Linked DNA regions of Caenorhabditis elegans. The protein of the gene in region 2 purifies or fractionates together with the protein of the main gene of each other region. This does not show direct contact. Each region holds a gene or a part of one and is shown on either strand. Other genes may lie near its edges.

Region 1 (4,006 bases), on a different chromosome or scaffold from region 2:
GTGTACTCATTGTGAGTCATACTGGAAGATGAAGATTAATTCGAAACAGTTGAAGTCTAGATACCCGTGCTGTTGAATTATTTTGAAATATTTTTTTATTTTAAATAAATGCCTATTTTCCGCGTGAAATTATAATTTTTACTGCAAAACGACAACCTGTGCTCATTTCTTGGATTTATACTGAAAATTTGAGTTTCAGGTTGTGCTTGAACTTTGTAGATTTTATCAACATTTAAACATCCAAACTTCTGGAAAGCCCAGTTGGTCAGTTTTATTGGCGTTTTAATTACTGTAAATTGATACTTGATAGATGCGCAGACAATTCAACTATAAAAATATTTCGAAGACATTTCTCACAAGTTTCTTACAAGTACACCAATTTGTAAATGTAGTTGTCTTCAGGAAACCCCATCAAATCCAGGATACACATATAATTTGCTCTCCGAGCACTGACCTTTTCTCCCGATAACTATACAACTTGCTCCTCCCCCTTGCAAACTCTCAGAAGTTGCCCGCCGCGGTGCAAAAAAAACAACAACAACCTTCGATATAATATCAATTCTCTCCTCTTCTCGCACATTTTATAATCCGCCGAAACTCGGAAACACACAGTTTTTATGAGTAGTGGGGGGATTTGGGACTTTAGGTCACATAACAGCTGCTCTTTTATACACATTCCGATGCTCTTTTTTCGAAGGAACTGACTTTTTTTTGGCGAATGAAATTTGTATCAAAACATTTGATATAGTGAAGATACTAAACATTTTTTGAAGTTTCAAAGTTCCGTCTTCAAAACAAAAAACAAAGCAAAAAAAAAGTTCAGTTGGTTTTGGGTGTGCACCTAGTCTCAACGCCATATGACAGAATGTAGCGTCTGCTGCTGCTGGCAGTTACGGCTCTGGCACGCCAGATGCCTACGCCTGTTGTGTTTCATCTCATACCTCTGTACTCGAGGTTTTACCCCCCTCCTACCCCCACTGTTTATTACTTTGCTCGACATGTGCTGTTCTCAAGTTATTTGGCATCCCTTAGCATAACCCACCTCCTCACGAACTTTTTTTTTACTTTTTTTTTCCCCATTTAGTTAACTTTATTGTTTAGTTTTTTCAAAAGTTGTTATCTGATTTTTCATGTTTTTCACTTCATTCCTTTATTCCGTTTAAAAATTCTAGCTTGTGAAATTTTCATGATTCCACCTAACACCTCAAAACGTATACCAACTCGTTGAATTCTTAATTTTCATATTTAACTCCAAATTGAAAGAGTTTTCTCACTTCCAGAAATTGCTAAAAATCTCAGTTCCATATTGATTTTACGCGATTTCTAGAATTAGAGCAACTTTCTGAATACAACTTTCATAACTTTCGTTATCCTTTTTTTAGAGGCTTAAACCTATTTTAACGTTATAATGTAACTGTTTAGTTTGTAAATAATGTCTACGTAAATTTATAATTTGTATTTTTTGTTGTCTGGTTTTGAAATATCAAACCCCAAATGTTAGATTTGAGAAAGCCCGTTTAATTTTGAATTTTTCTATTGTGAGTACTTTTTCAGTTCTTTAATTTTTCATTTGAATCCCCAAAAAACTCAATTACTGGGCTTGAATTCATCTAGAATCTCCACATTTTTTCGAAAACACCGTAATTTTCTGGTAAAGTTGACCCAATTTCGATAACTTTTTTTCAGATGAAAATGAAAATTGAGCCAAAAAAAAACCCTACTACTCCCGCCCTTTCTATATTGCTCTGAAACCGAGAACATTCTGGAAATCTGGTTAATTTTACAGTCCCAAATTTAATTTTTTTACTTCAAAAACCATGTTATTTTTAATATGCACAATTTCAAGTCCACCATCTCTTTTTTTTCAGAAATCATCACAAAATGAAGTCCCGGATTTTTTTTATAACATTACTGACAATAGTTGCCGCTCAAGAATCCGCAGATCAGTTATGCAGTAGTTTCGATGCCCAGCAGAGCTGTGGACAGTGTATCAAAGCACATGCAGAGTGTGCATGGTGTATTGATCCCGTATGTTTACTTTAAAGTGCAGGGGTTTTGAGAGGGGGTACTAAAAAGTTGGACGTCTTAGATTTCTGACCTTTTTGTAAAATTTGATATCTAGCTAGTTACTTTGAGTTAGTTCAAAAGATTTTCCAACTAAAGAATTATTTAAAATCGTTTTCTATTTGTATAGTTCATTCCTTTTAACTGCAAATTTTCAAAAATTTTAAAACTGGGTTTAAATTTAAATTTAAATTTTATTTTTATTAATTTTAAATTTTAATTTTAAAGCGCCACTCTACATGCACCTGAAAAATTGTAGAATATCACATTACAAATGTTATCTTAGTTTGTAATTATTTGGAAAAAACCGAAGAATTAAATTATAGGTGCTTTATGATGCTTTATGATGCTTACAATAATCGTGCAGTTACAAATTCAGAAAAATTATAAGTGCATATGCACGTGGTGTCAGGCTGTCCTATTATGGTTTGATCTACAAAACAAGCGGGAATTTTTTGTCAAAACAACTGTTACGTCAGCAAGCTCTTAGCCATGCGAAATCAGTTGAGAAGTCTGCGTCTTTTCTCTTGCATTTTTTGTAGATCTATGTAGATCAAACCAAAATGGGACACTCTGACACCACGTGCATATGTGAATACTTTTGTTTCGCAAAAAAACTTTCAGCACTCTTCCCTTACAAACCGATGCCAGCTGAAATCCAAGTTTACCAATGAGACATGCACGCCGCACTTGGTGTATTCTCCACAAACCGCTCAGGTCAAAATTCAACAAGTAAGTGTTACAGTGGTATAGATCCTCGCTGTTTAACCTTTAAAATGTTACAATTTTTGAAAGTAAAACAGCGAGGAGGCATACCCATTGGAGCCTAATTTTCCAACTTTTTCTCCAGAACTTACCACTTGAAACCAAACAGCATGATGGTAAAACCATTGTTCGACAACAGCCACAAGCGGTTTCCGTCCGTCTAATGCCATGTAAGACTTGCGTTTTATTTTTTAAATACGTAACATTTTCGATAATTTGCAACTTTGTAGCTCACTCCGCCACCGTTTCTTTCAAGTACCTGCATCAAACTGACCCAAGCAGACGGAGCACCGAACCCGAGACTATGGAAATTCAGACTTCTGATGTTAAAGATACTCCACTGCAATTGAAATTTTTCATTGTCTGTGATGGGTAGGTGAAGATTTCGAAAAACAATTTTTATAGGAATCATTTCAGAGAGTTGAAGGAGACCAAGTCGTGCCGTGTGCAGAATAATCAAATCGTTGAATTTAAGATTGAAGTGAGTCTTTTTTTGTTGAAAATTTTGTTTGATCTCCAAAACTGGCAAAAAAAAGTTGTGGATTGCTCGTCACTGATATGGAATCTGCCTCGATTTTTCGAAAACATAAATTTCTCCTAAAAATTGAATTTTTTATCAAAATCTGAAGGCAGTGACCTAGGCAGGTGCCTCTTTTTGAATTATTGGTCGTATGTTTTCAATTTTGATGGTAAACTTGTGAAAAAATGGGGACAGCGGTTTTTTGACATGCTAAATCCGAATATAAGGTTCTATGGTAATCATTTAGTTTTCCAATATTACCAAATTTGAGAGGGGTTACCATAGCTGCAAGGCAAATTAAATTTAACAAAGGGTCGCCCATCACTTGGTTTTTCAAATTTTAATTTTAAAAAGCCCCGCACGTGTTTTCAGCTTGACCATTCGGTGTTATTTGTGCAAACACCGTCACGCGCAAATGTAGACATTTTTGCACGTGCGGTTGTGAAATTCCTCTTGGCGAATTCAAATATTTTTCCCGCCTTTTTTGAAAATTTTCGAGGCGTTGGTCTAGCTGAATAAACGTGTCCTGTGAAACACAATAAAAAAGGGCATACCTTATAGACACACCCCTAGTAACCAAATTTGCTATTCAGGTACGCTAGCAGAGACCAAAATCTGCTACTGAAAAAAGCAAAAAAGTCGCTAACCAACAAGACA
Region 2 (4,006 bases):
AATTTCATGATGAAACTTCTTGAAAACTTCTCAAAAAAAAGTTATGACGGCTCAAAAACTGGCCTAAAATTAGTTAAAATTTGAAATTTGACTTGTCAGCGCTGCCAGCTGGAAACTAATATTTTTGAAATCACCGTCAAATTTTGAGTATTTTATGTAATTATCTTTCGTTTTTAACTCTGATTTAGGTATTTTAAAGTCGATGAACGGCGAGATTTTTAAATTTTTTTAAACCAAATCTCGCGGTCCATCGACTTTAAAATACCGAAATCGTGTTGAAAACGCAAGATAATTACATTTTATACCCAAAATTTGACGGTGATTTCAAAAACAAAAATTGTTTCCAGCTGACAGCGCTGACAAGTAAAATTTTAAGTTTTAACTACTTTTAGGCCATTTTTTGAGCCGTCATAACTTGTTTTTGGGAAGTTTTCAAGTTTCATTATATAAATCGGTGTTTTCAGACAATTTCGAGTCTACTCCACCTTTAAATGACAAATTTCTGAAATCCTTACTTTGTCGAACTATACACTTGTCAAGTTCGGCAGATGGATCGATGAAATTCAGTGCAGCTCGGTTTTCGCGAAGCTTTTTGATTGGTCTTCCATCCCCGCCGAGAATGATTCGTTCTTTATGAATTTTCGGCGGATTTCTGAGGCTCGCAAGAAGCTCGCCGACTCCGGTGAGCTTTTTTCGTGGGCAACACACGTCATTTCTTCCAGAATCGTTGGCTTCAGCTACTGTTTCCTTTTTCATGCATTCTTGAAGGAAGTGCTCTTGAATACGACGAATCTGTTGAGCATCCTGAGCGTTGAATGATGCAATAATCTGCTGTTCCTTTTCGTCTTGGCAATCCCTATGTTCCGCATGATCATCTTCCGAGACTGCATCTATCAAGAAATCATTAGAAGAGAATAATACAAGAGAAATAAATATCAAATAGTGATAATAACTAGGTTTCTTGGAACCAAATATAGAAATCAAGTTAACAAAATTTCGTTATTTTTGTTTTTTTATTAGGTTAACAATAGAAAAAAATATAATGATTACGTGAATCTTCACGATCGACAATCTCCGGCGCCTTCATTGTTTCTCGTTGCTTGTCCTGATTGTTCCTGTAATTAATTGCATTATTGAAGGAAATTTTAAGATTTCAAATAACGAAATTGAACACGGGTCTGGAAAAATAGAGGCGAAACGAAGAAATATGAACATTTCGAAATAATGCAACAATCTCATGTGACTCCTGATGAAGAGGGTATTTGAAGTGCAAAATAGAGCGCAAGTGCACTTTTTTAATTTTTCTCTTAAAAATAGCTATTTTTGTTTAATTCTAGAGTTTTAATTATAAAAAGAAAAGCAAAATTCAATAAAGGTTCTCTTCGAAAAAATAAATTGTTCGGGTGGATTTACGGTAAACAAGGCGCATTGCGTTAAGGCGGAGTGTCGTTGTGCTCGGGTCTCGCAGCGAAAGTCACCTACAGTAACCCAGAATTTTAGGATGACCGCGATTTTCAATTTCGTTTTTTCTTTTCGCGTTTTTTCGCGGAAATGTTTGTTTTTGATGCTCGTTTTGTGTTTTTGTGTTGTATTTTTGTTGCTTTTTTCGCATTTTTCTATACGTTAAGTCTTATTTCGTCTTGAATTTTAAATTTACAGGTAATAGTTACAAAATCGAGAAGGATGCCAGCTCTTCCTCCAGTCTACACGCCTTCTGGAGCTCCATCGAGCGTCCACGCACCACCTGCCGTTCCACCAGTTCCAGTTCCGACTCAACCGTTAAGATCGGAGTATCAAACGTCTAACGACGCTTGCATCAAGAGACTGGAAGAGCTTAATGTACGTTTAGTTTAATTGATTTTTTTTTCAAACCTAATTTGTTAAATTTCAGATTGCTCCTGCTGCAAAGCTCTATCCAACACCTACTGAACCAGGAAAGTGTGGCGTCGAGGCCGAAATACAGACCAACGTATTCGGAATCGAGATGCACCAGGATTCGTTGTTCTATCAGTACAGCGTGAACATCACGACGGAGCTGAAAAACGGGAAAGAAGTTACCTTCACTAAGAAGGGGAAGGATGAGTGAGTTTACCACATGATTTATATTTTTCTCATAATATGTTCCAGCTTCGTCGTTACTGAGAGACACGACAAGTGCTGTGCGATTCTGTTCCGCGCGCTGGGTGACTATGAGGAGTTCTTCAAAACGTCTGATAGCTGCCTCATCTACGATGGTCAAAGCATTCTGTTCTCAAACGTGGATCTTTTCCAAGGGTTCAGAGAAGGCGCAGTAAAGGTAAATAAATTAAATCTCGGCCAATGTTATTCCGAATATTTCAGACCAAGTACATGCAGCTTGATGGCGGAGAAATGGATCATAAGGATCTCAAATCGTTGCCGTGTATTAAGCTGGAGGTGTTCCCGACTAAAAACCCAGCGGTCAAGTTCACACGAGAAGCCGTAGCAAGACGAGCAACGGACTCAAACCTCGATTCTGTCAGCTTGGCTTACCAACAGATCCTGGAACTCGCTCTCACTCAACCATGTCTTCGCAACACTGCGAGATACGTTGTTTTCGATCATGGAAAAATGTTTTTCATTGATCCACTCGGTGAAGGATTCGAGAAATGCGACGTTGTGGACGTTGGGGATGGGAAGCAAGTTGTACCAGGACTCAAGAAGACGATCAACTTCATCGAAGGACCCTACGGCAGAGGACGGAGTAATCCATCAGTTGTCATTGACGGTTGGTATTCAAAATAGTAATATCATAGTTATTTCTTGTTTTTCAGGGATGAAGGTCGCTTTCCATAAGAATCAGCCAATTCTCGACAAACTGAAGGAGATAACTACGCAGCCTGTGGAACACGGCCTGAAGGGACTCGAAAAGGACCGCTGCGCAGCCGTCATCAAAGGGCTCGACTGCTATTCTACATATGGCGGTCGTGAACGTCATCACAAGATCGAGGGAATCCATCACGAAGGGGCTCGAAATGCTCGTTTCGAGCTCAACGACGGTGGAAGCTGCACTGTAGCTCAATATTTCGAAGACGTATACAACATCACTCTTCGCTATCCAGACACAAATCTCATCGTTTCCAAGGAGAGAGGAAATATAAACTTCTACCCGATGGAATTGTTGAAGATCAGCTCTCATCAACGCGTTCAGATCCCGCAGCTAACCAGTGCCCAGAGTCAGAAGACAACGAAGGAAAGTGCTGTTTTACCTGACGTTCGCCAGCGTCTGATCTTGACGGGAAAAAATGCGGCGCAAATCTCATCGGACAACGAGGTTCTCGGTAAAATGGGCGTCTCGGTGTGCGAAGATCCGCTCATGGTCAAAGGACGCTCAATTCCTGCGGTGAAGTTGGCAAACGCTGAAATTGGAGCCAATCCAATCAATGTCAAGGACAACAAGTGGCGTGCCAACCGCTTCACTCGACCAGCCACGGCGCCGAATGTGTGGGCGATGTATGTTGTCGGTACCGCATCAACTCGCATAACTTTGGATACTCTGAAGTAAGACTGGCAATATAGTTTCATATCTCATTTTTTTCGTTTCAGGAAATTCGCAGATGAGTTCGCGGCTATGTGCAAGTCAAAAGGTGTCAACATGCCTGCTCCTGCTGACATTTCGCTCATCCATATGGATGCCATCGAGAGTCGTCTGTACGACGCAACGAAAGCCAATTGCACATTCGTTTTCATCATAACGGATGATTCAATCACTACACTCCATCGTATGTTACATTGTTTATTATATTTGTCCATATTTCCGTCTTTCAGAGCGTTACAAAATGATTGAGAAGGATACGAAGATGATCGTTCAAGACATGAAGCTATCCAAGGCGTTGAGTGTTATCAATGCAGGAAAGAGGCTAACTCTCGAGAACGTGATCAACAAGACCAATGTGAAGTTGGGAGGTTCCAACTATGTTTTCGTGGACGCCAAGAAGTACCAGATTTTTTTTTGCGAAATTTATATTCATTTATTATTCCTTCAGGC

What was found.
Region 1: the proteins of wago-4 (region 2) and C05D9.3 fractionate together in Caenorhabditis elegans (co-fractionation; one large-scale study listed by BioGRID). This does not show direct contact.

What each region holds. Positions count from the first base shown.
Region 1 is NC_003284.9:1,110,035-1,114,040, forward strand, and holds the start of C05D9.3 (Integrin beta epidermal growth factor-like domain-containing protein), read left to right. Parts: upstream 1-1,881; coding exon 1,882-2,028; intron 2,029-2,688; coding exon 2,689-2,796; intron 2,797-2,914; coding exon 2,915-2,999; intron 3,000-3,059; coding exon 3,060-3,201; intron 3,202-3,246; coding exon 3,247-3,310; intron 3,311-4,006. Other genes in the region: C05D9.4 (uncharacterized protein), read left to right, coding at 1-76.
Region 2 is NC_003280.10:12,917,894-12,921,899, forward strand, and holds the start of wago-4 (Argonaute protein wago-4), read left to right. Parts: upstream 1-1,657; 5' UTR 1,658-1,683; coding exon 1,684-1,839; intron 1,840-1,891; coding exon 1,892-2,082; intron 2,083-2,127; coding exon 2,128-2,296; intron 2,297-2,340; coding exon 2,341-2,746; intron 2,747-2,792; coding exon 2,793-3,519; intron 3,520-3,564; coding exon 3,565-3,740; intron 3,741-3,786; coding exon 3,787-3,955; intron 3,956-4,004; coding exon 4,005-4,006. Other genes in the region: F58G1.2 (C2H2-type domain-containing protein), read right to left, coding at 516-884, 1,051-1,087. UniProt on the Caenorhabditis elegans protein: Argonaute protein which is involved in the endogenous small interfering RNA (endo-siRNA) pathway and is required for RNA-mediated gene silencing (RNAi) in the germline.